Linked DNA regions of Caenorhabditis elegans. The protein of the gene in region 1 interacts with the protein of each later gene in a biochemical or structural test. Each region holds a gene or a part of one and is shown in the gene's direction. Other genes may lie near its edges. The genes, in order: npr-1, flp-4, flp-14 and flp-34.

Region 1 (5,994 bases):
AGTTGATAAACTCGGAATGTGTGACTGTGGCCATTGAATAACCCTACTAATTTCTTGTAAAATTTCTGCAATTGTTGGATGTTAAAGGAGGAGGAAAGGTTTGGATTGTCATAAACGTACACACTAAAAATGTGCCCAAATGAACGACTCAAAAAATGTTGCAATATTTTTTGTGGTAGTTTGAAATTTTGAAAAAAAATACAGCTAATTTTAGTGGAATTTTTGAATTTTGCCTACTTTTCTGTAGCACAGCTGTTGGATATGAACTGTTAGTCAATTACCATACTTTATTGCATGGTGACTTTTTCAAACATTTAAATAATCATGAAACATTTTTGAGCAGTATCTAATAAATTTGATCATTTCAGCTATTTTTGAGTTCATATTTTCAATATATCCCAAACTGTTATTCCCATTTTAAACAACCAATAGGCCTTTTGAGAAATTATGAATATACATCTTACGGTTAGTTTGAAATACGTGCAGCTTTAGCATGATACCAACAAAACAGGGCACAATGTGCACACCGCGAATCAAAAATTCTTTCGTGATGCGCCAATAGTGCTCGGACCTCAATGTGTTCATAATGCTCATTGAGTTTGTGAAAAGCACTTAATTTTCTCGGTCTCATGCAACTAAATCTCTCAGTAAAAGGAAATAGTTCTGAATAGTCTCCTTAATTTCAAAGAACAAATATTTCTTAATGATGTTTTGATTTTCGAGGATAGATAATATATTGCAAAATGATTTAGTTTTAATTTCTGAAAACTTTGAACTTTATTCATAACAATTACAATGACAACTACTTGAACTTTAAATTGAATTTATGAAAGCATGAAAACAAATTTTCCTTATTAGTAACTAGTTTGAAAAATAAGTTCGTTAGCCTAGTTGTTAAAAAAAATATAATAATAGGATTTTTTTCATTGAATGTTCCAATTTGATGCATTATTCTCCTTGAAAATGAATTGTGATTTGAACGTCGCCCGATCCAATTGTAGCTCAACTTTAAAAAAATCTGGCTTCAGAGAATTTCGAGATTAAATTTAATCAGTTTATCCAAAACTCAATCAGCCTCTGGGTTTGTGTTGTTTTGATTGATATCAAAAATTTAATCTCAACCCACACATGATCAAAACCATTGTCACTTTTTTTTATTTCCTACTTAAAAATTCAATTTCCGTTGTTTAACGAAAATAGAGTTGGAAAACAATTGCGGAATTTTTGAAACCTGTTTCAGTAAATTTTCCCCACATATTCTTTTTCTCTTTTTTCTCAGGTATTCATCTTTTCGGCCCTCGATCCCTTTTTCATTAACGTGAACATGTCAACCATTTTTCGGCTTCATCACACAACTCCCTCTCACATCATTCCTGTTTTTGCTCTCATTTCACATTTAGCAAATTTCAACGCAATTTTTTTCTGGTTTCCGTCTAAGATATTCGTCACATAGATCAGTGCTGTTTTTTTGACACAGGGTTTAGAAATTTTGAACCTTGGTTTACCAATATCTTGTTTCTATCCATTTATTACTAGGTAGTTGTTGAACCATACGGAAAAAATAAAAAATTTTCCACTTGTCAAAGCGATAGATGACATCCTGTGCTTCCAGTATCTATAATTCTGTAATGAATCTCTGTCATTTGTAATCTGTATCAATTCGCAGGTGTATTCCGCCAAAAATATACATTCTGAAAGCTCAAGATGGTTTTAAGGTCTCCGATCTTACAATGTGGTTGAACTACCTAATTAGACTTACCCTATTTTTTAAAAGTATTGCACCTATACTGCCTTATCACCCAGATGCAAAATATTGCCATTTCACAGCTTAACTAAACCTGATCTTAACACGACAAGTTTTTTTTGTCAACTGAAAACATTTGCACCTTTAAAAAATACTGTATATTGAAACTTATAAAATTTTTGTAGACTCGTAAGAAAACCTATGAAAAGACCACCAAAACTCATCAACGAGAAATGAAAAGTACAGTAATCTTTATAAGTGCACACAATCTTTATAAGTTGCATTTTAAAATTTTGTCGTATTGTCTAGACCGGGAACCTGTTAGTGGGCCAAGAAATAGTATAATTTTGGGGTTTTTAAAGATGTGAGTACGAAATATTTAATTTCTATAAGCCATAAGCCATGCTAAAAAAACCCTAAAAATTTGCTTACATGAGAAGAAAGAATTATACTCAGCCAAATCTCTAATCACTTTCTGGAAACTATAGGATTTTATTTTTTATCTATTAATCTATTTGGTTAACACCCTCTTTCATCTTTGTTTCCTCAATTTTTCTTTCCTCCATTAGACTAAAAAAATTTCAGACATAGGCCAAATGGAAGTTGAAAATTTTACCGACTGTCAAGTATATTGGAAAGTGTATCCAGATCCTTCTCAAAGTATATATGCGATAGTGCCATTTCTGACCGTGTACCTTTTTCTCTTTTTTCTTGGACTCTTTGGAAATGTGACCTTGATTTACGTAACTTGCAGCCATAAAGCTTTACTGGTACGTTTCGTTTTTTTTTCGGGTCAAATTTTGTTCTGTTTTGGAAAATTGACAATTTCGGGTTCTCTGAACAATTTGATTCGAAGTGCATAGTGCGTACAGCTTACTGACACCCGGCTAACGAGAGACGAGGTTATCCATGTCTACTTGAAAAGTGACGTACATATTTGGCAAAAAAAAAAAACACTCTTATAATTCTATATAACCAAATATCATAATAAACGTTTCACAACTAGAAAAAAAAATTTTATAGACAGTCAAACTGAGTAATTACCACTTCTTGAAAGAATTTTTCCAAAAACGAACCAAATACGTGATGGAACATCACAAAAATGTTTTTAACATTTTTTGAAGCGGATCAAGATTTTTACTCTGACTAGTCCAATCAAAAATCCCAGAACCTTCACTTCTCCTGTGAATTATCATTAAATTTCAGAGCGTTCAAAACATATTCATTCTGAACCTGGCGGCGAGCGATTGCATGATGTGCATATTATCGCTTCCAATCACTCCAATCACAAATGTGTACAAAAACTGGTACTTTGGAAATCTACTCTGCCATTTGATACCATGCATTCAAGGTATTTTTTCTAAAACAAGAAGTTTTTTAAAATGACGTTTTTTTTTCAGGTATCAGCATTTTCGTATGCACATTCAGTCTCGGTGCGATTGCTTTGGATCGGTATATCCTTGTAGTAAGACCACATTCTACACCACTATCCCAAAGAGGAGCATTTCTTACTACTGTTCTATTGTGGATCCTCTCTTTTGTTGTAACTCTACCCTATGCGTTCAATATGCAAATGATTGAATACACAGTGAGTGTCGTTTTTTTCTAGGTATTCAACTTCTTATACAACTAGTACCCTCGTTTCAGGAAGAGAGAATATGCGGCTACTTTTGCACTGAAAAGTGGGAATCTGCCAAGTCTAGAAGAGCCTACACAATGATCGTGATGCTCGCCCAATTCGTGGTCCCATTCGCTGTCATGGCCTTCTGCTATGCAAATATTGTTTCGGTGCTCAGCAAGCGTGCTCAGACAAAGATACGCAAAATGGTGGAGAGAACAAGCGCGTTGGAGAGCTCTTGCGCATTCCCGTCGCATGGTCTTGAACAGTATGAAAATGAGGTAGTTTTATTGATTTTCAAATTAAAAATTCACATTTGATTTCGTTCCAGTTGAACGAATTTCTAGACAAACAGGAAAAGGAGAAACAACGAGTTGTACTTCAGAACAGAAGGTATTAAATGCAAGGTTTCTAACCGAAATACTATTTGTGTTTTAGAACAACGTCAATCCTAGTTACCATGGTTGTCTGGTTTGGGATAACTTGGCTGCCACATAACGTCATTTCTTTGATTATTGAATATGATGACACACAATCGTTTTTCCGACTTTATGGCAGAGATGATTACGATATCAGTTATTTACTGAACCTTTTCACTCACAGGTTTGATTTTAACCAAGAACGAACGGTTTTGACCATTCTGAACGTATAAACCCAAACATGCCTCAAATGAACAAATTTCAAAATAAAACTTCTCAAAATTTTTTTATGCCGGTTCATTTTTTGGAAAAAGACCTGGGTTTAGCTAAAATATTCAATTTCTGTCACTTTTCCGCAGCTGTCGAAAGTTGACTTTTTTTAAAATTATCGTCCTTTATCGCATATTTTAATAGTTTATCTCACTTTTTTCGATCATTAAGGTATTTTTTAAGCCAATAAGTAACAAAAAATGAACAAAATCGGCTACCTATTGGATTGAAAGATACCTTAATCAACGAAATAACGTGAAATAAAAGCTACAAATGGCACAAATGATGATTATTCAAATAAAGCCAGTTTCTGACCGCTGTGAGTCGGGAAAGTGGCTAAAGTTGCGGATTTAGCTGAAATTAACGTTTTGGCCCAAAACGTTTTGAGAAGTTTCATTACGAAATTCGTTCAATTGAGCACATTTTGTGACTATATGTTCAAAATACCCAAAACCGGATCCCTCCTTTGAATTCAATTTTTTTCATGTTTTTGCAAATATTAATTTTAACGTTTCTAGTATTGCCATGTCGAACAATGTTTTAAACCCGGTACTCTATGCGTGGCTGAACCCAAGTTTCCGTCAACTGGTCATAAAGACATATTTTGGAGACCGGCGTAAAAGTGACAGGTTTGTTGTCAATTTCGAAAACGCGTTGTAATTGTGCTTTGTCTTCCAGAATAATCAATCAAACATCAGTTTACAAAACAAAGATCGTGCATGATACGAAGCACTTGAATGGAAGAGCCAAAATTGGCGGTGGTGGTAGCCACGAGGCGTTGAAGGAGAGGGAGCTGAACTCGTGTTCGGAAAATTTAAGCTATCATGTGAACGGTCATACGAGGACTCCTACACCGGAAGTTCAGTTGAATGAAGTTTCAAGTCCTGAAATAAGGTAGAACGTGAATTTGAAATCGTAATTAAAATTTTGATTTTTTAGTAAACTTGTTGCTGAGCCGGAAGAATTGATCGAGTTCAGCGTCAACGACACGCTAGTCTGATTGTTTTCTGACATATCCTTTTTTCGTTGATTTCGCAACTATCATCACTTTCATCCTTGCTGAAATAGTTTTTATGATCTTTTTTTTGAATAAATAATACATAGGATGCATATATATCTATAAGTGTTTTCATGACGTACACATACGAAAATTGATGATATGTGGTCTCGTAGACTAAACGATCATCTCGTGTTCTACAAACGAATGATTCAAAGCAAAGTGCTTCAGAAGACTAGAAGGTAGGGAATTAAACACGAAATTATTATGCAAAAAGAAGAGTTCAAATATTGAACATGTGGTAAAACAAAACGCTATGCAATATTTTGGAGTTTTGAAAATTTCAGACAAACTGCCGAATTTTTCGGAAATCGGGAATTTTGCTGAAAAATTTCTGAGCCATCATTCGCCGGAATTGCCAATCGAAAAATGATTTACAGAACACTAAACAAGGTGTAATAATTCGTTTTCAGAATAAGATTAAATTTAAAAGTTGCTAAAAATTGTCAGCAATCTGCAATTGCGGAAATTTCAGCAATTGCCGAAAATGTTAATTTCCGAGTATTTTTGATTGCCGTGCACACTTTACTTTTTACAAAATTAAAATACCAACAATTGAATACATGTTTGTTTCTTTTTAAAATAACAAATCTCAAAAACTGATTAATTACCATTTTGTTACTGTAAATAAATTTTTAATAAATTTTTTAAGCTGCAATTTTTTTTAAATATTTAGTCGCAAACTTGTTGCACTAAATGCTGAAACACAAATTTATTTGCCGTTTGGTTGTTTTCTGAAAATTCAAACAATAGTAATTAAGAGTTTTTTCTGATAAATGTTAAAATTTCACTTACATTTGTAAATTAGAATTACCGTATTTCTTCGATTAATATAGCTGCAATACTATTGTTCGATGGTCTTCTAGCTTGCAATACTAATAGGGAG
Region 2 (8,452 bases), on another chromosome or scaffold:
AACATCGAAATCCTCCCCCTCCTTATGCAAAGTCTTATATCCAAGTACAGTAGACTCAGAATTCCAACTATATCTTTATCTCCATAAATTGCCGAGCTGGAACGGAGCAAGAACGAACACTTTTTGAACCTTCTCTCTCCCTATTCACAAATACAAACATATCTTCCTTTTCCCAAAATTTTCATACTTCCTGCCACGAAATGATGTAGCTATATATATGAAGTTTGGGTTTCCCTATAAATAAAATAGAAATATAGTGAAAACATAGTGGCAAATGATATTGAATATGCTATAGACTTGGTAGAACACATTGAGTAGTTTGATGACTCGGACGTGAATAAGTAATTTGAAAAAAATAGCTTCCGCTGACTAAGCCCCTTTTAGAATTGCACAGCATTCTTTCAGATTTTCAATAATTTAATAATTTAAAATGACGATTTCGTCTTGTTTTGCACTACTTGTAGTATTTATAGTGCTTCCCAAATATCTTGAAATGTGTAATTGAAAGCCTGCGGGTTTAATAGAAAATTAAGCAGCATTTTTCTTTTTTTGTAGATGCTTTTCAATTTTTTTGGATTTTGTGGAGATGTTATGTTCTTTAATATTTATTCAAAAAAGGAGACAACTGGTAAAGTTAAATTTTTGCATCAAAACTTTTCCGAATAGATCTGTGGTCTTTTTTGGTAAATTGCCGAGTTTTGGAAAATTATAAAATTACCAAAGTTATTAGAAAAATAGTCCAATACGAACAATTTTTTTGATTTTTCATGCCCCAATCCGGAGCCCACACAAATACTTTTGAACTACATAACCATTTCCTCAATTTCCCCACGTACAAGTGGTTGCAAATTGTGCATTTCCTTCTCCTCCGAGCAGAAGATTGTTTGGATGAGTTGTCTGGATTATTTTTGGATCAGGAGCAATTTTCTGTTTATTAAAGAAAAGCGCAGAAAATAACACGAAAAAAAAGGCTTGATTTCTTGGTTCTTATTTTGTGCATGTTTTAGCGAAATTGCAAAATGTTGACCGATCTGATTTTCATAATTAGGAAAATGTTAAGACTTACTTATCTTTAGTGATTTCCCGAGACCTACGGATTCGGATTTTATTTTTGCAAAAAAGGAAAGTAAAATGAATAATTTCAATAATTCATTTAACTGTCTTTAAAAAATTTGAGCACTTGTTCCAATATTAAAAGTGTTCTATCATTTGCGGGGTTCCCAAAAAATCCTGCTATTGTTTTTTGTGGGATTTAAACTTTTTCAGCTCTTCAAATCAATAGGCTATTGGTGCATATATTGTCTTCTGACGTTTTTTTTCAGTTTCTATATAAAATTTTTGTACTTCCTTCTAATTTGACAGAATAATTCTAAAATCACATATTTGAACTGTGGGCGCTGAATTTTTTTGAAGAGCATGAATTTGAACCCGCAGCGACGGGTCTTTATTTTACAATACAGACGTTTTCCAAAGTTTCCCGGTTTTCCCCGAATATTCCAAAAGTTTCTAGAGTTTCTAGAAGGTTCTCAACCTTTCCTAAATTTTCTAAAATAAATTCGAAAGCCAACATCTACGCAAGATAATTTTTCAGTCGAACTACGGTAGTTTTCAATCAACTTTATCTAAAAATAGCCGAAAACCCCCATTACCTCCTAGTTTGGTATTCCAAAAGATCAAACTTATTGGGGTAGTTGGACCCCCATCCATCTTTTGGCACGTTTCATTCCCGAAGTTCCGTCATAAATTCGATGTCCCCCTCCACCTAATCATTGATTCGTCATGCCTTGTCAGACAAAACCCACGTCTTCAGCTTTTTGGTCGTACCACAATTTTTTCTCCAATGATTCCATCATCATTCCTCATTCCCCAGCTCGTAAAGAACTCAATAAAACTGTCCTCTTCTTCCTCAACCCATTCCTACTTATTCTACATATATTCCAACTTCCAGTGTCCATTCCATTCTCCTTTTTTGTGCTGTCTCCTTATTCTGTTTCCTTTTTTCCCCTATTCAACATCATTCCAGTCACATTCATTTGATTGCGCACTAGGCTCCGCCTGCTCACGCCTTTCTTCGCAAATTCATATTTGGATCTCAATATTTCCGCAAAAAATTGGTAGGTTTTTTTTCGCTTTGACATCAATAGATCTAGTTGACGTGAAAAGCAAACTGGCAAAAATGTTCTTTGAAATTCATGAAATTTGACAAAAAGTTTTGGTCTAACAGCAGTATCTTGAGGCCACAATGGAGCATAACCAGAAAACGTGGTGTATCTGACTGTTTTTTTTTCTGGAAAATCTTCAATTTTTTCGAGGAACTTCTTGAAGATTGTTGTTGTTTGGTTTAGTCTACGTGACCATTTGTAGCTGCCATAGTTATTTTCATTTTTCGTTTCAGAAATCGGAAATTGGTTTTGCTTGAAAACTAGCGAAAAGTGGGCGTCAAACGATTATTACTAAACACATATTGTTGATTAACTTCTAGAGTTTTTATTGGAGTATTTGACGTTAGCCATTGCAACGTCATTCATACAAGTATTTATATAAGACAATGTACATTTTTTCGTTCATAATTTTCTTGAGGTATGTCTAGTGTCTAGTGTATCAAATTTCTAGATATGTATTGTGGATCTAAATTTAGGGTATCTCCAAAGAGTTATACAAGGTTGTTTTCCAAATTAGCACCTCTAAATAATCGAACCTACATGATTTGAAATTGCTTTAAAAAAATTTTTTGTTTGAAAATTTACCAGTTTTTCAAAACATTTACTAAACATTTATTCAATACAGTAATGCATTTCAAAGCTTTTTATGACTTGAAAAAGCTATAGAGTACATAAATCTAAGCCCAAAAAAAAAACCGCAGACTTGTTTTTTATAAATTTAAAAAATCTTGAATTCAAAACACGTGTTCAATTTTGGCTTCTTACATGTATTGTTTTTAATAAATGTTCCGATGAAATCTGCAAGCCGATTTACTAGACTTACAAGAATAATTTCTGACTATTCATTGTTAATCTATAATCTTCTTATCATGTTACATATTATCTAGTTAGTCATTTTCTTGTCTTGTTCTGTTTTCAATTTCACTCATTTGCTCTCATATTTCTTTTTCCTGAATTGAACCTTGGACGCTCAAAAGCTAATCGAAGAAAAATTGCCGAGATTCGGGAATTTTGATTGATGTTGTCGAATTAGTTGTTGCTTGTTCGAAAGTGACAACATCAGACAAAAACACACACGGATTTTGAATTATTACCTATCCATGTTCCTTTGATTTTCTATTAAATTGTCCTTTAAGGTTTCAAAAATGTTCGGAAAACGTAGGTGTAACCTGAAGAGTTAGGAGGAACGTCTATTTATGGTCCATCCAAAAATAGTTGTTGTTATTCAATTTGCGGCACCGAATCTTCAGATATTCGAAAGTTAAGAAAAACAAGAAGTTAGCTTTTAGGACTGAAAGACAGCTTCCTGCAAAAATGTTCTTCTTTTTATGGAAACTTGAGAGCCAAGTTCAAAAGATGAAAAGTTAAGTGGGCGTCTTATTTGTGTGGGCAAAAGAAACTGTAAATACATTTTTAGATTTAGTATATATGCAGGACTACTTTTCTTTCTTGTTATAGTTCTTGTATAGCATCGTCGTATGCACGCACGTCTTCAGGAGTATGTTTTGTATTCATGTTTTTACAACTTTGGCAGTAGTCATGACATATTTCCAAGGAACGTAGGTTACCTTGAAGGCAGGCAGAATATTTTCAGCATAACATGGAAGATTTAAGTTGTTGTTGAATTACGTAGACAACAAAATAACATTTTGAGAGTTCTTTCTTTGCTAATTGTATTTACGTCTCCTATAAAAATTGAGCATAGAATAAGATCATTCGTTCAGATTTTCATGCTTCTTGGATCGACTTATAAGTGTACCTTTATATTACGGGCTACAGTAAAATTTCCTTCTTTTTAATTCAAAATCTTCATTCAAACATCTAGCTGCTACACAACAGGGGTGTGAATCAAGGGCTCGAAAACTGGAAATGCCTGATAAATATTTTGCAAATTTTAATATTCCGATTTGGAAGTCGCGTAGTAAAATGGTTTTCAAGGAGCTTCGAGGTCTTCAAATGTTCTTTTTTTTTAGAATTTCAAGCTTTCACGCACTTGATTTACACTCCTGCTCCCTGACTCCATGACTGTTTGATGAGCTCTTTTGAACTTTAGTGGTTTCTGGCTTCTTCAATAGTCCAGACGTAATAAAAAGTGTCCTTCTTTAGAAAATTAAAAGTTGGAATACTTTCCTTAAAACTATGGGAGAAACTTCTCTTACTCTGAGAATTAAGAAACTGTTTATCACTATTTAAAATTCCAGTTGAAGCATCGTGATCACAAAACTCAGAGCTTTACCACAAATCCAGAAAACAGAAAAGAGTTCTTGAAAATTATAAAATCTTTACGTGGGAATCTGAATACGTAGAGAGCTCTGGAAATTTACTTCCAGATAGGAATTTCTATCATTACACCGGGAAAAATATATCAAAGAACCACCATATTTTTTTATAAAACTCTTCAAAATGTAGTACGTGACTGTAGCCCAACTACTCAATTAATTCCAATTGCGTCATTTTTCCAAAAAGGCATTTCTCAAAATTTTCTCAGGATTTTCCTTTTCAATCCATCATATTTTCCAATTATTCTCAGATCAAACCACGCACCATGACAATTTTTCCACATTTTCCAATCCAATTTTTAATCAAACTGATTCTGATAACTCATATCACACCTAATAAAGTAATTCTACACCACGAGTTTGTACGCACAAATCTACAAATTGTGACCAATATCCAGTGAATTTCTTAGTATTTTTGCATGCATTTTTAAGCACCTCCAACTGTTCTTCACATTTCTTATTATTCCGTTCTTTTTCTTTTTTCTCTGCTGGGACACATTTTCAGCGCCGTGTGACGTCATATAATTCATTGAAATTTTAGAGTTTCAATGTGGTATTAGAATTAAATGTATTTTTGCTGTACAAAGAATATTCATTTTCAAAATACTTATTAGGTTTCATTATGCCACACTACCTGACTGATCATCTGTTACAGTTACCTATGTGATGAGTTTTCGTGATAGAAAATCCGGAAAAAGACACGGATGTGATTTTTGACTATGCTTAATCCTGAGAGACATCCATTATCGCAAACAATAGAACCTAAAAGAAAAATTAGAGTTTAAGATAAATGTTAAGGTTATTCAAAAAATAGACTTTTGATCTTATTTGAAATGGCATGCGGAAGAAACTATGAATGAACGAAGTTTATGACAAAGATCTGAATCCTACGCAGTACGATAATTTTCCTGAACGAAAAACAGTAGAAAGCTTTCAAATGAAGAACATCCAAGCACATACTGTTCGCGTTATTTTACTTTGAAATGATCTCTAAAGGCCCCCAAAATGCTTACCTGCGTGCCTCTTGGACATTTTGTGATAGTTTCGATGATATGTATTTTTGTGCCTATGAATAGGCTAGGTGATAGATTTCCTTGTTTTAAGACAAACACTTCCAGCAAGCTTTTGAAACTAGACTAAACTTATCACAATTCTAATTTTATTCCTAAGATCGCATTGTCAATTCACTTTCCGAAGATCATCTCGTCCATTAAAAGATTATTCTTTTTCACAGTGTAACCTAAACCTTGATTCATTAAAACATGAAAATGTAAGCAATAGATTAATATTAATCCTAATCTTAGACTAAAGTCTGATATGTGTCGTAATAATACCCCTTTGGTATTTAGTTAAGGTTTTTTGAACTGAAGGTTTAAGTATAAATACCTAAGAAATCCACTCTTACAACATTAGTTTCAGCTTTTGAATTTGGCAAAGTGGTGAGTTCAACTTTTGACTCTGTCTTATTCATTAGAAGTTTTATTCTCCATTTTGAAAATCTATCAGCTTCTGAAATCTTATCAAAATCACTGAATTCCAGCAATTATGGAGATCAATTGACAATCTACATACATGAATAGGTAGGCATTTTTTGCCTACACTCAACAAAGTTTATGACCACGTTCGAGACAGTAAATAGGTGATTTACTAATTGAAGTTAACCCGTCACTACCGTAACCCTAGAGACCAATAGATATAGACACAAACTAAAAACCAAAGGATTATATTTCATTGAAAACCAAAACGTCTGTAATAATTTCTTTAGACACATAAAAGAAGCTCGACTAAAAAATATTAGTTATTTTAGAAGCTTAAGTCTATAATTAATCCCTTCCGAGGAGGTTAATGTGAGTTTGAAGTTTTAATAAGGATCTTTTATAAATTCGTATTGTTTACAAACTTATAATTTTTGATCCATCGGATAACAGAACATGGATTCAACGCATAATATCTGAAATTGACAAGTTTGAAAAATTTGGCTGGCTCTAAAGATTTAGTTCTGGTGTTTTTTCCAGCTATCCTTTAAGCTTCAGAAATTTGTTTGGAGAACCATTGATTTTTGTTTAAATTTCATAGAACTACTTCTAACGGACCACCAGCATAATTTTGAACCCTTGACGTCAGACCACACCCACATTTCCTTCTTTTCCAACAGAAATTATGCAAAATTTGAAAGTTCAAGAGACTTCACCACTCAAATGCTCATATCGGGTGTCCAATCAGCTCGTATAATGTTCAGAATAGTTCTCATGTTTCATTACTTATTATAAAAAAGGTCTTTCGGTCTTTCACTTCTTACGTGGGGGCTCAATGTCTTCCAGGAATCGGGCGCACCGGTCTTGATGTTCTCCGAGATATTTCTTTGCATTATTGATACGTTTTTTTAAATTTTCTTTCTTCTCTCTTTGACGTGCGTTTTTGTGTCATTGGATATTTAAATAAAATATTACGATTAGCCAATAAATAGTATTTACCGTATTTTTAATTAGTCCCAGGGTGAACAGTATAAGAGAATAATTGAAAACTTTTTAATCAACTCAATGATAATTTAGAATAATCCCGATCAATTTTCAATCTCCAACCTTTTCCGAAAACTATTCCACACGCCTCATTGCAGATGTTTTTTTTTGAGAATTGAACCAAAATGTCTAGATAACAAAAATCAGCTTGCACAGGAAATATTTAGCACGTCAAAGTTTTCAAAAATTACGTCAAAATGTTGAAGATGCGTCAGTTGAGAAACATTGGTGATTGAGTTTTTGAATAAAAGGCTTGAAGTTTGTGAAAACGGATGTGCGTTTTTGTTTTTTAGGAAACCTATCACTTTTAGACACCAGTGAAATGTTATTTCCTCTATTTTTGGAGAATTATTGAAGTACAATTGTTTCATGGTATTTTCCAACTGAACGTCAATTTTTTTTTAAACAGGTAAACCAGAAATGCCAAAAAAGCAACCAAAAAAAGTGTTCGAATTTCGTTTTCAGGCGAAACAAAAATTAAAAAATTTTGAGCTGGGTGCGGCCAAACTTTGGGCAATCCCGGTTTATTCACCCTTTGTTTAAGTTAATATTGATAAATTACTTGTCCTCTAATTTTTTAATCCAACCATTATCAACGTCACACTGACTCCACCCCTTTATCAATTGTTCTCCGTTTCTTTTAAAAGCACCTGCTCAACCTTTTCGTCGCATAATTTTCCGCTTCAAGCTCCCCCTTCCCCTTCTTCATTATTTCTGCAATTTTCAGACAACTACAGCGACATGAACGCCTTCTCCTCTTCCCTTAAAACATTCATCTTCTCCTTGCTTTTTGCCACGTTGCTTGCACTCACAGCAGCTCATCCACCGTCATCTGGTGAAGAAATTGCTGAGCAAGAAGAGAAGAATATTGCAAGTCCAGATGAACTTATTGTAAGATTTTTAAAAATTGAGAAAAGTTATAAAAATAAATGAATGTTTCAGCCGGAAATTGTCGAGCAGCAAAACTTCTGGCCACCAGTGCATCTTCGTGGATTACGGTAAGTAGAAAAATTGCCTTGCGCCTAGTCTTCACATTTTTTTAAATTATAAGATATAAGTTCAAAACGAAACATTCTGAAACGCTGTGTAAATTAATTTTCAAATTCAATATGCTTACTTGTCAAACGTAAAGCTCTCATGGTAGGCAGGTTCCTCTTTAGATCCACATGCCAGTCTGCCTACATGCATATACATACCGCTTGTTAACCTGCGGTAGACATAGTGTCCGGATTCCACAATTTATTATAGACTTGAAAAATATATATTTCTGAAAAACTTTTAATAATAAAAGCCTTTGAATTCTCATCAGTCCTACATACAAAGTCGCGTGTTTTTAGCAAATAGCTAACCATTGCCAAATCAAACACTAAATTATTAAATTCCAGATCATCAAACGGAAAACCAACCTTCATCAGATTCGGCAAGCGGGCTTCTCCATCATTCATTCGCTTTGGAAAATAAATCAATCATCTCACTTGTCCTAATTTTCATT
Region 3 (7,180 bases), on another chromosome or scaffold:
AAAACAAAAACAAGAAAAAGGCAGATAAATAGGTTAAGAAAGTACAAAAAGCCCGAGGGAAACTGACCTGATGTTGTTGACGACTTTTCTTGAAGAATGCGTGGGCTTAAGAAGCCTATTTACTACCTAAAATTGGCCCTTCTTCACGGGCTTTCAGAGTCCCTCATATCTTGAAATGGCAGAGTTTACTGAGAACCTAGGCCGCGGCCAAGGCCACGGATTTCTGGCTTCCCTCATAAATTGAAATGGAAGAGTTTGCCGAACTAGGCCATTTTGGCTCGGCCATATCTGGGGTAGATTTACGGCGCGTTGCGTGTCGCGTCGCGGCTCGATTGTAAAACTAAATGTCCGTGTGGAGTTCACACGACTTTCCCGGCGGCCGATTGTCAATGGAGCGCGAAAAAATCGATGAGGAAGGCTAGAAGCCTGTGCATCATTTCCGCAAATTTTTTGAAGCTCCGTCGCGGTCATGGCCGATGTTCCCAACTCTCTCGGAACGCTCCGTCTTCATAAAATGGGTCTCATTAGGAATTTGGTCGTTTTAGCTATTATTCGTTATTTTTAATGATTTTTTTCGATTTTTTGATTTTTTGATTTTTTTCGTCACAAAAAACATTAAAACACACTGAAAAAATTAGAAAAATTAACGAAATCAGGAGATATAAAAAAGTTTGAATTTACGATTTTGTCGCCAAAAACCTAACGAGACCCAAGTTATGTCACTATGCGGCAATTCAAAAAAAGACAAATGTGTTATTTTGTTCTGGAAGTTACAATTTTTCACAAAGTCAGACCAATTAGAGCAGCCTCTTTCGAGTGAAAAAAGAAAAGAAAACACTTAACGAGCACACACAAATTTTAGAAGAAAAAAAAACGGAGCACCACGTGGAGAATTGCACGAAAACAACATTAAGCGATGGTTCTATACTTCCTTTTTTGTTCTGAACGTTTAATTTGGGAATAGTTTGAGCAAAGCCTAGGCTGGTCTAGGCTGGTCTAGGCTGGCCTAGCCCAGCCTAGCCAAGCATATTTTAGCCTAGACTCCCAGCTTGGCTAACCTTGCCTAGAATCCCAGTCTTGCCTAGCCTAGCCAACCTTACATAACGTATCCTACGCCTACCTAGTCTAGCCTCACCTAGCCTAGCCTAGCCTAGCTTAGTATACCCTTAACTAACCTAGTCCAACCTTATCTTACCTATCTTATCCTATGTCTACCTAGCCGGGCCTAGCTTAATCTAACTTCCCAGTCTTGCCAAGCCTAGCCAAGCCTAGCCAAACCTAGTCAAGCCTAGCCAAGCCTACCCTCACCTATCCCTGCCTAGCTTAGCCTAGCCTGGCCTAGCCTTACCTAACTTATCCATCGCCTGCCTAACCTGGCCTAGCTTAATTTGTCCTATTCTTACCGAGTCTAGCCTAACCTAACCTAGTCTGTCCTAGCCTAGCCTAGCCTAGCCTCACCTAGCCTAGGCTCACCTAGCCTTGCCTACTCTTCACTAGACTCCTAGACTTGCCTAGCCTGACCTATCAATACATCTGCTCTGTTCAAACATTGACCTCCTCTGTCACTTAACTCAATATGCCCCTGGGCCTCCTTACGGAACCTCCGATACATTTTTTTTGGTTTTTTTTATTTTTTATTACTTCCGGGGCAGATTCTCAGATGTTTGAGGTGTTTTCTCTTTTCCAATTTTCCCGGAAAATTTTAGCGAAATCCTGCTAATCCGGGGACCCCATCCCCTCGGCTAATTAGTATTTGTTTTTTTTTTCGTAAAATTTTTAGTGCTACCGTACTCTTGAATTTTGTTTCATTTTTTTTTCTTCTCCTCGAGCTCTACCAAGCCACGCCCACAACATTTCACTTTCAACACCGAGCTCCGCCCATTTTGAAGTCTCCTCTGGCTCCAACTGAGAGCTCTCTTCATATGATGATCTGCCTGCCCACCGCGCTTCTGCTCTCCGCGTTCGTCGTGGCCGCCAGTGGCCAGGAGGCACCGGCTGGAGCCGGAGCTTCTGGAGCCGCACAGGCTCCACACAATCCGAAGGATTGTCAAGCGGTGAGTCAAAAAAAAACCATTTTGTTCTAAGAAGTTTAAAGTCATGTTTATAATTGGGTTTAAAAAAGTTTTTTTTTTCAAAACTGCAAGTGGAAGTTATAATGAGATAGTTTAGTGCATTTTGGAAAAGTTTTTCGAAAACTAAGTTAGGGCCTGCGTGACGTCATACATCCCATGGTTCTCAAAATTCTGAGAATGCGTACTGCGCAACATATTTGACGCGCAAAATATCACGCAGCGAAAACTAATGACTACTGTGTATTGGTTTGATCTACGCAGATCTACGAGAATCGCGGGAACTTAGACGCAGACTTCTTAACTGATTTCGCATGGTTAAGAACGTGCTGCCGTCACATTTTCTGGACAAAAAATTTGATAAATATGATATTCTTTTGATCCTCATGACGTTTCGGTTGTAGTAAACTTAATAAGATCACAATTTCTGCTCATTTTTCGGGGGAGGATTGGATGCACAATAAAGATTAAACAACTTGCGATGAATAGAAAAAAAATCTATTTTCTTTTTCATAGTTAATCTAGATGATTCTAACCTGATCATACTATTCTCTGTTTGATTTGAATGTGTTTTTTTGTGGGGTTGGAAAGTAGTAGATCAAAGTTTTTTTAGAACTCCACTTTGGTAGATCATAACTCGGTTCATTTTATAGATAGCAAAATTTTTTAAACTATAAAGTTGCAGAAAAAGAAAAAACCTATATTTTTCTAGTTAACAACTTTTTGATAAAGCTAAAGATAGCCGAGATATGAGCTGTCAAATACGGGCTTCATCTCACCGTAGTCCTCGACAAAAATCTGAACCTATAATTACAAGGCTTCCGGTTGGTTTTTTTTTTGAAACCATGTAATTTTCGTGCTTTTCCCAAGGATTTTGTTCCGGAATAATCACTGGGTTTGAAAAACGTACTACTGTAAAAAAACACATTTTCCAGATTCTGGCCAACAACGGCGATCAACAAGAGGCGCTTTTGTGCCAATTAAGCGAGAGCAGCATGCTTCTTGCTCAGCTCGGAGCTCTCGTTTCGGAGGGAGTTGAACGTCTCGTTCAGACTCACGGTAAGTAGGCAGGTAGTAGGTAGGCAGTAGGCAGGCAAGAGGCAGGCAGTAGGAAACAGGGGCACCGCCGAAAATTTTTTTTTCGATTTTTCGGTTGTTTTTGAGCATAACAGAAAAACAAAAAATTTAAAAAAAAACCGAAGATCCGGCAGCCCTGGTAGGTAGGCAATAGGCAGGCAGTAGGTAGGCAGTCGGCAGGCAGTAGGCAGAAGGGGTGCCTTTGCCAGGTTTTTCGGTTTTTTTGGGCAAAACCGAAAAATCGGAATACCGTAAAATTGGAGTCTGAAAAACGAAAGTTGGCAGTAGGCAGGCAGTAGGCAGATAGTAGGTAGATAGTAGGCAGGCAGTAGACAGGCAGTAGGCAGCAGAGGTGCCTATGCCAGGTTTTTTTGGTTTTTTGAGCATAACAGAAAAACAACAATTTTTTCAAATAAACCGAAAATCCGGCAGGCAGCAGGCAGGCAGTAGGAAGGCAGTAGGCGGGTAGTAGGAAACAGAGGCACCGCCGAAATTTGTTTTTTCGATTTTTCTGTTTTTTTTTTAGCAAAACCGAAAAACGAAAATTAAAAAAAAAAAAACAGAAAATCCGGCAGGCCAGGTAGGCAGTAGGTAGGCTGAAGGCAGGAACTAGGCAGTAGGCATGCAGTAGGCAGGTAGTAGGCAAATACTAGGTAGGCAGTAAGCAGGCAGTAGACAGGCAGTAGGCAGCAGGGGTGCCTATGCCAGTTTTTTTTTGGTTGTTTTATAGCAAAATCGAAAAATCGAAAAACCGTAAAATGGGAATCTGAAAAACGAAAGTTGGCAGCAGGCAGGCAGTAGGCAGGCAGTAGGCAGGCAGTAGGTAGCAGGGGTGCCTATGCCAGTTTATTTGGTTTTCTGTCTTAGCAAAACCGGAAAACAGGAAAACCGGCAAGCCTAGTAGGTAGACAGTAGGCAGTAGGCATGCAGTAGGCAGGTAGTATGCAGGCTGTAGGTAGGCAGTAGGCAAGCAGTAGGCAAGCAGTTGGCAGAAGGGGTGCCTTTGCCAGTTTTTTCCCTTTGGTTTTTTTTTAGCAAAACCGAAAAACGAATTTTTTCTTTAAAAAACACCGAAAATCCGGCAGGCCTGGTAGGTAGGCAGTAGGTAGGCAGTAGGCAGGTAGTAGACAGGCAGTAGGCAGCAGGGGTGCCTTATCCAGTTTTTTTGGTTTTCTGTCTTAGCAAAACCGAAAAATGGAAATACCGTAAAATTGGAATCTGAAAAACGAAAATTGGCAGTAGGCAGGCAGGCAGCAGGCAGTAGGCAGACAGTAAGTAGGCAGTAGCAGGCAGTATGCAGAAGTAGGAAACAGGGGCGCCGCCGAAATTTGTTTTTTCGATTTTTCGGTTTTTTTAAAGCAAAATTATTTCAAAAAAAAAAGCAGAAAATCCGGCAGGCCTGGTAGGTAGGCAGTAGGTAGGCTGAAAGCAGAAACTAGGCAGTAGGCAGGAACTAGGCAGTAGGCAGGCAGACAGTAGACATCCGATTTGCCAGCTGCATGAGTCAAACTTCATTTTCTCTGCATCAAATAAGCCTCCGGTGACCCAGCCGAAAGCCTAGACTATCAATCACGTTCCGCCATTTTCTTGAAAAAGCCCCTGACTTTTAAAATGTAAAGCGCCAAATTCTTTTTAAATTCTTAATGATGGTTGTGCTCTTGCTTTGAGGTCTGATCCCAATGGGAAACGTTGTTGCAGGATTGGCTCTCGAGGAGGAGACCAACGAGGGAGACAATGACATGGAGAAGCGCAAGCACGAATACCTCCGATTCGGAAAGAGAAAGCACGAGTATCTCAGATTTGGAAAAAGGAAGCACGAGTACTTGAGGTTTGTGATTTTTTTTTAGTTGTAAGGCAGGCAGTAGGAAGACAGTAGGCAGGGTGTAGGCAGGCAGTAGGCAGACAGAGAGTAGGTAGACAATAAGCAGGCAATAGGCAGGCAGGGAATAGACAGGCAGTAGGCAATCAGTAGGCAGGCAGTAGGCAGACAGGGAGTAGGAAGACAATAAGCAGGCAATAGGCAGGCAGTAGTAGGCAGATGTTATTATGGCGCCGCAAAAAGCTGCAACTGTTAGATGGGGGCAAATACGCTCCAACGTACAAATGAATACACCCAGGAAATTTTTGGAACCAATTTTCTTAACGAGACCCAAATTATGGCAGCGTTTGGAGCGCAATTGCACTTTTTTTTCGAAAAATTGTCATTTTTGCGTCACCGTAATACTTCTCAGGTCTCTACACGAATTTGCTTGTTTTTTTTTAATACAGAAGGAATTCAAAAGCCTATAAAGATTACTGTAGTGTCCTGCAAAATATTATTTATTTACACAAAAATAATACGGACAAATTCTCGAGGAAATGATAGAAAAACTTTGAAAAATCGATGAAAATCAAAGTCGCACACCTTTTCGAATTTAACGAAAAATTTGTCGCGTCGAGACCTGTATTTGTGGCTGAAAAATCGTGTAACAAACTTGCGCGTAAAATATGATGTCTGTGCATCGAATTTTATGCGCGAATTTTTTTTCCCACTTTCACGGGGTTCAGGCCTTCCTCATTGCATTTTTCGCGCTCCATTGACAATCGCCTGCCGGACAACGCGTGGGAAAGTCGTGTACTCCACACGGACAAGTGATTTAGATTTACAACTAAAATCAAGCCGCGACGCGACACGCAATGCGCCGTAAATCTACCCCAGCTATGACCGAGCCAAAATGGCCTAGTTTGGCAAACTCTTCCATTTCAATTTATGAGGGAAGCCAGAAATCCGTGATTTTTCGAGCACAATTTAACGGAGAGAACAAGCTCTGATCTTCGCACTTTTCCGTAACACTATTAAACTTCAAAAATTGAATTTTCGACTCAAATTCGGTGTTCTTTTTGTTTGTTTCTAAATCAAATGTCACACGATGTCTCTAAAGGAAATTGTGTTCCATCAAATTTCCCCTATTTTTTTCAGATTCGGAAAGAGAAAGCACGAATACTTGCGTTTCGGACGCAAATAAGAAGGGAATATCTACTATCATCGAAGAAACATCTTTGAAAACCATACAAATAAAAGAAGAAAAAGACGGAACTACAGTACACCATTTTTTTTTGAAAGATTTTTTTTTCTATATTTTTCTCTCTATCTCTTTTCTCTCTCCCTCTCAGCATTGTCGAAAGAAGAAATTGTAATAAATCTTGTCGTTGGTTAAGAGTTATTTTCTAGAAGTCAGAGGAAGATAAGTGCGCAACCGACATTAAACAAGGTTCACGATGAACCACTTTAAAAACGATTTAAAGAAAGCAAACTTCTGGGTCTTGTAGAAATTTCTGGGAATCTGGATTTTTTGACAAGTTTTGCTGGAATGCTCAGAAAAAAAAACACTTCGAATTTTTTAAAATGTACGGTAAATTTTTTATTAGAATTTTTGTCAATAATTCCAAAAAATGAACAAAAACGCAATTATAAGATCCCTTCGAGATAAATGGAACAAAAAAAAAAGAATAAATATAAGTAGATCGTATTAGAAATTTACATGAAAATGAGCAATAAAAAATCCCAAGACTTCTGCCGAATTACTGCACGTAAACTCCACGATCGTATTTATTGAACTTTTGCGAGCGCTGTAGAATCTTATCGTTGACAAGATTTGCAACGAAAATGGCAGCGATGCCGAGGAAGCATCCAACGTTGAGTCCAGCCATTGCCTGTAAGAAATTAATTTTGAAAAGTTTGTTAAATTTGGCAAGAGTTCGCGAAGTTTGGCAAAATTTAGCAAAGTTTGGCAAAAGTTGGTAACTTTTGGTAAAAGCAGGCAAACGTTTGCGAAAGTTGGCAAAAGCTGACAGAAGTTTTTGAAAAATTGCACGATTTTGAAACTTTTCTAAAATGGGCAATTTTGTAGTTAGAGGACTCAACATTGCTCTCCGAACACTTAAAAAATGCCCTTTTTCAGAATGTAGCGGTTTTAATTTGTACATTTTCAGAAAAATTATTTTTTTCCCCAAAAAAAAGGACAGCCGTTAGATGGCAGAAAAATGAAAATGGG
Region 4 (8,307 bases), on another chromosome or scaffold:
TAAAGCAGGCGTAGGTACTTTCGTAGGCATGCCAAAAACAACAACTATATTTGCACAGGACCTTGTAGGGCCTAGAAATTTCTAAAGTTGTTAAACTATTTCTAAACCAAAACGAGTCCCAGTTTTCCAGTTTACGAAATTTTTTGTTGTTAGATAGTTTTGGTTCTTAACCTTTTTTCTAATTTGTCAATACCAAAACAAATTCATCAATCAGGTGAATGACGCTTAGACGATTCTGATTGATTAGAAATTTTTTAATTAACCTTTTTGGTTACTTGGAATTGATTAGAAAATGTTTTGGCCTTATGGTGAACTAAATAAACGGTGCAAAACTTCAGTCAATTTGCCTTGTGTCTTCAAATTTTCATGGGATCTCTGAAAATTTACAAAAACTCTACCTAAAAACGATATGTTTACCCAAATGTAGTTCTCACAACAATCTATATTTGGGATCTCAAAATTATTTTTAGTTCTCTAACGTCATTTATTCTCACTGCTAATTATGAAATATGTACGAGGAAATTTCGTGGCAATTTTTATTTCTCGAAAGTTCCAAAATTTCCATTTTCCCATGGTCAACTGTAGTAAAGAAATATTTTAGAAAATTGACGTCACACTCAGCCGAAATTACGGTAGAATTTTTTTTTGAGTTTTTTTAATTGAAGTCAAAAAAGGGAAAACTAAATTTCCCCTTTCGCCAATTTTGGAGGTCAACCCTCTTTTTTTTTGGAAAATTAGATTTTTTGCCAATAACTTTGTCTATATAAAATTTTTGAAAAACCTGAAATATTCTCAAACATTTGAAAATTTGAAAATCTGAATGTATGAGTGTATTAAGACCAGAGGTGCGCGGTAAATATTTTTACCGGCAAAGTCGGCAATTTGCCGTTTTTCGAGTTTCCGGCAAATTCGGCAAACCGGCAATTTGCCAAAAACAAAAATTGCCGGAAATCCGGAAAATGGTCGGAGTTGAAAATTTCCGACAAATTCGACAAACCGGCGATTTGCCAAAAATTAACATTTCCGGTTAATCGGCAAATTGCCGGAATATAGAATTTCCGGCAAATTCGGCAAACCGATAATTTGCCAGAAATGAAAATTGTCGGCTAATCGGCAAAATTTTGGAATTGAAAATTTCCGGCAAATTCGGCAAACCGGCACTTTGCCGAAAATTTTGAAATTTGCAGACCACGTGCTTGATTTGCATCAAGTTCTCATGCCCTTTAAATTATTTTCTCTCTATACAGATTTCCTCATATACATTGACATCATGCCCTCTAACAACAAGAATAAAAAAATTAAATATTAATTTGTATTCGAATTCGGAAATTTCCTTTTTTTGCGCTTTGTGTCTCAAATAATATGCGGTGCTAATGAATTTTTCATTCCGAAATACGACGGACTTGTTGAAGGATTTCCTGAGTTTTCACAATTTTACGTGTATTATTCGAATTTTTACAGGAATCTTGCAGTTTCTGACTCTGGTCCAGACGTGGCCGCGAAAATTAGAAAATTCGGCCAGGAATTTATTTTTGATATTTTTTGTTTTTTGCGGCCTCTAGTATGAATACTGTATGCTAATCTCGAGGTTTTTAAATTAAAAAAAATACTCATGGCCGAGTTTCCAATTTCCTAGGCCACGTAGCAGCCGCATTTCACCTCAAACTCTCATTTTCTCGGAAATTTTTGCTGAATTCCTTTGAAATTCAGCTCAATCTCTAAAAATTTTACTTTCAGGTACCCCCGTTGCAGAATAAAAATGCACAGCTTGATCACAGAATTGCTCATTTTCTTCACAGTTCTTCTTTCTGTCAGGTAATTTTTTTAATTATTTTTTAAGACAATTACATGGTTCATTTCAAAGCTCTAAAGAAGATTCTAAAGGCTTACAACTAGAAAATTTAACCTTGGCAAGCAGGTAGGTACTTGAACTTTTTTTTGGTACAATATTCCTAAAATTCTTCAAATAATCTGAGCTCTTTAGCAAACAAAAGTTGTCAAAATCTATGAAACTAGATCAAAAATTGGTTTTTGAAAAGCAAAAACGAATCAAATTTCATTTGTACCAGGTGAAGGGTTTTTTGATAACTAGATCAACATTTTATTTATGCAGAATCACTTTTTTTATTATGAAACTACATTTGAAAAAAATGTATTCAAAAATATGAGGAAGCAATTAGGCTTTCGAAACTCGCAAACATAGTATTTTTGGAAGGTCTCGCAGTAAAATTCAAGTGACGTCATACCGATGAATTTCCCGCAATTTTTATAGGTAAAACCGATATAGATTACTATATGTGACGTAGAAAAATATAAAAGTCGATAAAAATTACCTTGTTCGAAATTTAAATGTGGACGGGTTTTATCTTTCTCGTGGACGCGTTAGAAGGAGACCTGCCTGCCTATGTGCCTACCTATTGCCTACCGCCGCCTCCAATAAAAATGCATATTTGCTAATTTCTGTCTATTTTCATTTCCATTAAGTTTCTTCATGGGGTTTGCTTTGAAGGCAGGCAGGCAATTAGGTGCCTGCTGTCGGAAATTGCATAGCATCAACAATTTTTGGAAAATTTGAAATTGAGGAAATTTACTTTTTATTTTTATTTTTATTTCCAAACAGAGGGATGGGGCTCATTTACAAAACTCATTTTTATCCAAAAAAATTTTTTGAAAATATTTTTTTGGAAAATTATATAGAAATGTAGAGAAATATCTGTTCTTTCTGAAAACAATTTTATCTTTATTTAAAATGTTTGAGAAATTGCCGAAAAACTGCCTCAAAGCCGGCCGTAATGCACCTAGGGTCACTGACTCTATCGGCACATTTTGACTTTTAGGTGGGTTTTGAGCAGCTTTTTGAATTTTTAAAGAAAAAAGTAATACCATTATCAGAAAGTACAAATGTTTTTCTATATTTCTGTATAAATTTTCGAAAAAAATTGCCGGAATTGCTAAAATTTTTAGAAATTTCAAAACTATAATATTTCAGCTATTTCAGAAATTCCTGAGCCCACTCCCTCGTAGGAACCCAATTATGAAATTGTAATTTTGGCAGAGAGGGAAAATAATTTGTTTTTTCGCAAATAAAAGTGACGCGGTGATGCTTTCAAAATTGAAATATATACATGTATATATCTGTGTATATTTTTCTGTTTTTCCATATTTCCCTCCTCGAAAACCGCTAACAAATTCTATCCGGTTACCCAATTTCGGTTTAAAACCATTCCATTTAATTGGCACCACATTTCCGTTTAGCTTCTTCCTGCTTTAAGCCTAAAACCTAATTTACCACCCAAAAAGTCGTAAAACAATCGTATTATTGTCATGGATTCATCGTATAGTATATAAAAATACCGTAGCTGTGTGTGATGACGTGGCAACAAGAAAAAATTAAAGAAGAATGTGATGAAAGGCAGGCATCATTTCCTGGGAGCACCCACCATTAGGCGCCGCCCACTTTTGGCTCGGCGAGCAAGAGGGGGGAGAAAGCTCATTCTGTTTTCGACACCCGATACATACACTCACACACATTTTCCACTACTAAACATATTTTCTAAAACATGCAGTTCCAATTTTTGATGGCTCTGATTTTTGTTGCTTTGGTTTTAACTGACAGGTTGGTACTGTGGGGGTACTGTGGGGGTACTGTAGGGGTACTGTAGGGAATGGTACTGTAGATTTTTTTTGTTGAAAGTACGGTAGTTTTATTATATGATTTTTTTTAATTTGAAAGTTGTTGGTTATGAATTTTTTGAATTTTTTTAAATACGAAAATTTTGTTTTAAAATTTGGTAAGAGACCATATTTCTGTTTACTGTGATCCTACATTATTTTAACATTACTATAGTGTATTACTGTAGTATTACTGTAGTATTACTGTAGTACCTTTAACTGAACCAAAATCTATAACTTAATACATTGGTTGGGCCAAAAATATTTTGCAAAAATTTTTTTAATGATTTTTGTTCAAAAACTATTTTAAGGGTGCAGTATCATCTAGGATAATTAGAAAAAACTCAATATTTTTCAAAAAAAAAATTACTATAGTCTCATTAAATATATGTGTTAATTTGTAAGTTATAAGGTTTTTTTTTTGAATTTTTGGAAAAAAGAAAAAAAAATCCAAAATTTGGTTAAAATTTTTTGGGTCGAAGTTTGAATTTCTGAGCTTTTTTTTTAATTTTTTGGATAAGCTTATGTTCATTTCAGTTTAAGACAATTTTTAGAATCACAAAATTAATTGGGATAACTTTGGAAAAAAATCAGAACAATTTTAAAAAATCTAAAAATTATAAAAACTTGATGTTTTCTAATTTTTGAACTTACTACTCAGTTACTTACTCAAATTTAAATCTTTTCGAAATCTAAATTTAGCTTGTCTGCGCAAAACATCATGGCAGGTGAATTTCTGTTTGAAAAAAATGTTTTCGACCAAAAATTGCAGTTCAACTTTTCTCAATGACGTGGCAAAATTGAGATAAGTAGGATTTTTTTCATGATCTTTTTTGAAAATCCACAAAAAAAAAGTAATTCTGAAACAAAAGGGGATTAATTTGGAGTATTAGTCAATGCTCATGAGTAATAAATTGTGAAAAAGTCAACAAGGAAGCATCTCAAAACAATCAAAAACTAGGCTTAATCCCCCATCTAGATTTGGATCAACAAATTTTTGATAAATTCAGATATGTAGTAATACTGTTAATAGTTGAACCAAAAATTCTAAAAATTGAAATTTTTTTAAAAATTTTTTAAAGTTTTAACCTGTTTCCTATTTAGAAATTTCATACATTTTGAATTTCGAACATGATGCATCAAAAACTGAAATTTCACAAATCGCGACGAGACCCACCAAAACTTGGGCATGCGCCTTTAATACATTTCTGGGCGTAGTTTAAATTTAAATTTGAAAATTTCAAATTTCCGTTCATTTGCGCTGGAATTAAAAAAAATCGTAGTCCCTGTAAACTTTTTTAAGAATGTATATAAAAAATCCTCGAAAATTTGGAAAAATTATATAATTTTTTAAAACAGTTATATTCGGTATACTCACGTGGCGTCAAGCTGTCCCATTACGGTTTGATCTACAAAAAATGCGGGAATTTTCTGCCCAGAAAAATGTGACGTCAGCACGTCCTTAACTATACAAAATCAGTTGAGAACTCTGCGTCTCTTCTCCCGCATTTTTTGTAGATCTACGTAGATCAAGCCGAAATGGGACACTCTAACACCACGTGTATACTTAGACTATGTTATGATATTCAAGTAAAAAGGATTACTGTAGCAATAGTTTCAGCTGTGTCACGACATAAAAAAGTTTTGCAGCGTACTATCCCTGCCACTGGAGAAAAAAGCAGACATTTCCACATTTGCATCAGCTATCAATAATGCTGGACGGCTTCGATACGGCAAACGATCGGACCCCGCAATGTGGGAAGAAAAGTGAGTACTGGGAAATTTGCGCGTAAGATATGGTGCATCGAGGAACACCAGATTTGACGCGCAGAAATTTGAAAACTAGTTGGTCATGGAAAAAATTCTAGACGCTGGTTCAAACCTATGCGATTTCTAAACTTTTTCCACAATTTGGAGCCCAGCGATCGGTACGTAGTGTGCACTTTTTCTATCTTTTCAGTTCATTTTTCTTGAAAATTTAAGTTTTTTTTAACATTTTCAATTTCCGAGTGACATTTTTCAATAATTTCAACGCACTCCAACCTTTCGAAATCCAATAAAAGTGTGTGTTTTGACCGGAAATCTCAAATTTGTGTCTAGCAAAAGGAGATGCTCTTTACAAACTTGTTTGCTCCAGCAACAACCCACCACTTTTCTTCGAAATCATCACGTCATTTGAAATAAGAACTTTGCAATTATAAAAGTAATGTAGCCTATGAGAAATTTGTGATTTTCAGTAATGTCATCATTCCATCATCGGAAGATCAGTACCTCTACTCGGAAGGACGTTATCCGTACGCATTGTGAGTTTCTCACTGGGGTAAAAGAACCTAGGCAGGCTTATAGCCTAGGTCTATAGCCTAGACCTATATTCTAGGCCTACAGTTACCTACAGCTTAGCCGAGACCTATGGCCTAGCCTAGACCTATAGCCTGGCCTAGGCCTATAGCCCGGCCTAGGCCTATAGCCTAGCCTAGGCCTGAAAATTGAAGAACAAAATTTAGGAGGCAGGTGAAATTTTGAAGTAGTAAATATAGAATAAATTAGTGATTAATCAAAATTTCACCTGTTTGTTCCTGCATTTTGGAACGTAGATCAAAATTTGGAACTAATTGAAAGTGGATTAGCGGAGGAGTTTTATGACGTGGGGGCGCTTAAGCTTCAAAGCTATAAAAAGATGTTTCCGAATTTTCAAGATTTAAACCCTCTCAACAAAATACAATTTTAAAATGTACAATTCGAATGACAAATGGTTGAATAGATAATTAGAAATTTGGCAGAGAGTTTGAAAAAAAAAGGACATTTTTCTCGGAATCAGAAAGTCGTGGCGTTTGGTCGGGTCATTGGGATGAAAATTTTTCAAATTTTTTGAGGAAATCCTCCTGAAACTAAAAATTATTTCAGAATCAAACGTGCGCTGAACAGAGACTCCCTGGTGGCTTCTCTCAATAATGCGGAACGATTACGGTAATTTTTAATTTTATTTTTCGAGATTACGCCTATGGCCTACGCCTATGGCCTACGCCTATGGCCTACGCCTATGGCCTACGCCTATGGCCTACGCCTATGGCCTACGCCTGTGGCCTACGCCTATGGCCTACGCCTATGGCCTACGCCTATGGCCTACGTATATGGCCTACGTATATGGCCTACGCCTGTGGCCTACGCCTGTGGCCTACGCCTATGGCCTACGCCTATGGCCTACGCCTATGGCCTACGTATATGGCCTACGTATATGGCCTACGCCTATGGTCTACGCCTATGACCTACGTCTATGGCCTAAAACAAAATATAATCCATTTTATTTTCAGATTTGGCCGTAAATAATTCCATCACGTCAGCCCGTCCGTAGCCGTCTCGTTTTTTTTTCTAAATTTTCTCTCTCGAGGTTTTGTTTTTATTTCAGATATTTAATTAATTTATTTATTCTCTAAAAAATTTTCCTCATTCAAAAATTCGCTTATTCAAATTTTTCATCATTCACCATCTTCCTGTCTTGTATCAAATCAGTCCCCCCAACTCGTTTTTATTTTTTATTTCTTTCTCAAAAAAAAATCAAATAAAGTTTGTGAGTCTGTTGTTTTGAAATTTATTTGATCTAAAAAGAGCGGGAACAGAATGGTCGAATAAACAATCGGGATATTAGTGCGCCAAAATTTTTTTTGGTTTGAATTTTTGATTTGAATATGATATTTGTGGACATTGAAGTTTGATCTTTTTTTTTGTCATAGGCGTAGGCCATAGGCGTAGGCCATAGGCGTAGGCCATAGGCGTAGGCCATAGGCGTAGGCCATAGGCGTAGGCCATAGGCATTGGTCAAAGACGGTTGCTATAGGCGTAGGCCATAGGCTTAGGTAATAGGCGTAGGTAATAGGCGTAGGCCATAGGCGTAGACCGTAGGCGTAGGCCATAGGCGGAGGCCATAGGCGTTTGCCATAGGCGTAAGTCATAGGCGTAGGCCATAGGCTTCGAGTGAATTCAGAATTCTCAATCTCAAATGTTTATTTTAATTTCCTCAGAATAAACTTTTGCCAGATGTCAGATTAAATGAATACAATTTCGAATGAGTCCACTTCGAAAAAAGTTAAGAACTTTGAGACAGATCTATGTATTTCCGACAAGAAACCCCTTATCAAAGCAGTGACCAATACTGAAATGGTCTTATCAGAGAAGGAAATAATGTCCGAGCAAACAAATAAAAAGTTGTGAAACTATTTTCCTCACTCTATTAACTTTATTGACCTTTTTCTTGAAAATATTTTCGAGTTTCGAAACATTTCAAATAATTTTTTGTCTATTTTTGAAAACAAAATCTTATTTATTTGTTTGTTGAGCCAACGTCTTTGCTTATAAATTTTGTCCCTTTTTTCTCAATTTTTTGAAATTTTATAATAATTCCAGTAAAAAATGTCTGAAAATCAAGGATTTGTGCATGATGAAATTACAGTTGTACCGGCAACTCCAACAGGACAGGTGGGTTTTTTTCGGCAATTTTTCATTTCAAAATTATTTTTAAATGTCATGAGAAATTTTTCAGCAAACGGACTCCACGAATGCGAACCAAGGGGGCTCTGGAAGAAAACGATCAATGGATATTGGAACATCGACGGCGCAGATTATTATTGAGTGGGTTTT

The links.
Region 2: of the proteins of npr-1 (region 1) and flp-4, one has a biochemical effect on the other in vitro, tested with the Caenorhabditis elegans proteins (one study listed by BioGRID).
Region 3: of the proteins of npr-1 (region 1) and flp-14, one has a biochemical effect on the other in vitro, tested with the Caenorhabditis elegans proteins (one study listed by BioGRID).
Region 4: of the proteins of npr-1 (region 1) and flp-34, one has a biochemical effect on the other in vitro, tested with the Caenorhabditis elegans proteins (one study listed by BioGRID).

What each region holds. Positions count from the first base shown.
Region 1 is NC_003284.9:4,766,321-4,772,314, reverse strand, and holds npr-1 (Neuropeptide receptor npr-1), read left to right. Parts: upstream 1-2,329; 5' UTR 2,330-2,340; coding exon 2,341-2,514; intron 2,515-2,950; coding exon 2,951-3,095; intron 3,096-3,144; coding exon 3,145-3,332; intron 3,333-3,391; coding exon 3,392-3,643; intron 3,644-3,693; coding exon 3,694-3,755; intron 3,756-3,800; coding exon 3,801-3,965; intron 3,966-4,569; coding exon 4,570-4,680; intron 4,681-4,729; coding exon 4,730-4,945; intron 4,946-4,990; coding exon 4,991-5,051; 3' UTR 5,052-5,163; downstream 5,164-5,994. UniProt on the Caenorhabditis elegans protein: G-protein coupled receptor for FARP(FMRFamide related peptide) neuropeptides. Activated by FARP neuropeptides flp-18 and flp-21. Plays a role in modulating social and feeding behavior.
Region 2 is NC_003280.10:10,046,938-10,055,389, forward strand, and holds the start of flp-4 (FMRF-Like Peptide), read left to right. Parts: upstream 1-1,930; 5' UTR 1,931-2,114; intron 2,115-7,687; 5' UTR 7,688-7,701; coding exon 7,702-7,851; intron 7,852-7,902; coding exon 7,903-7,958; intron 7,959-8,345; coding exon 8,346-8,421; 3' UTR 8,422-8,452.
Region 3 is NC_003281.10:12,908,590-12,915,769, forward strand, and holds flp-14 (KHEYLRF-amide 4), read left to right. Parts: upstream 1-1,920; 5' UTR 1,921-1,922; coding exon 1,923-2,054; intron 2,055-3,004; coding exon 3,005-3,128; intron 3,129-4,844; coding exon 4,845-4,974; intron 4,975-6,105; coding exon 6,106-6,151; 3' UTR 6,152-6,341; downstream 6,342-7,180. Other genes in the region: Y37D8A.16 (MARVEL domain-containing protein), read right to left, coding at 6,708-6,839.
Region 4 is NC_003283.11:1,026,838-1,035,144, reverse strand, and holds flp-34 (FMRF-Like Peptide), read left to right. Parts: upstream 1-1,740; 5' UTR 1,741-1,759; coding exon 1,760-1,815; intron 1,816-3,492; exon of another isoform or gene 3,493-3,560; coding exon of another isoform or gene 3,561-3,616; intron 3,617-5,322; coding exon 5,323-5,439; intron 5,440-5,909; coding exon 5,910-5,975; intron 5,976-6,576; coding exon 6,577-6,639; intron 6,640-6,983; coding exon 6,984-6,999; 3' UTR 7,000-7,251; downstream 7,252-8,307. Other genes in the region: R09A1.3 (UPF0496 protein), read left to right, coding at 8,080-8,145, 8,210-8,298.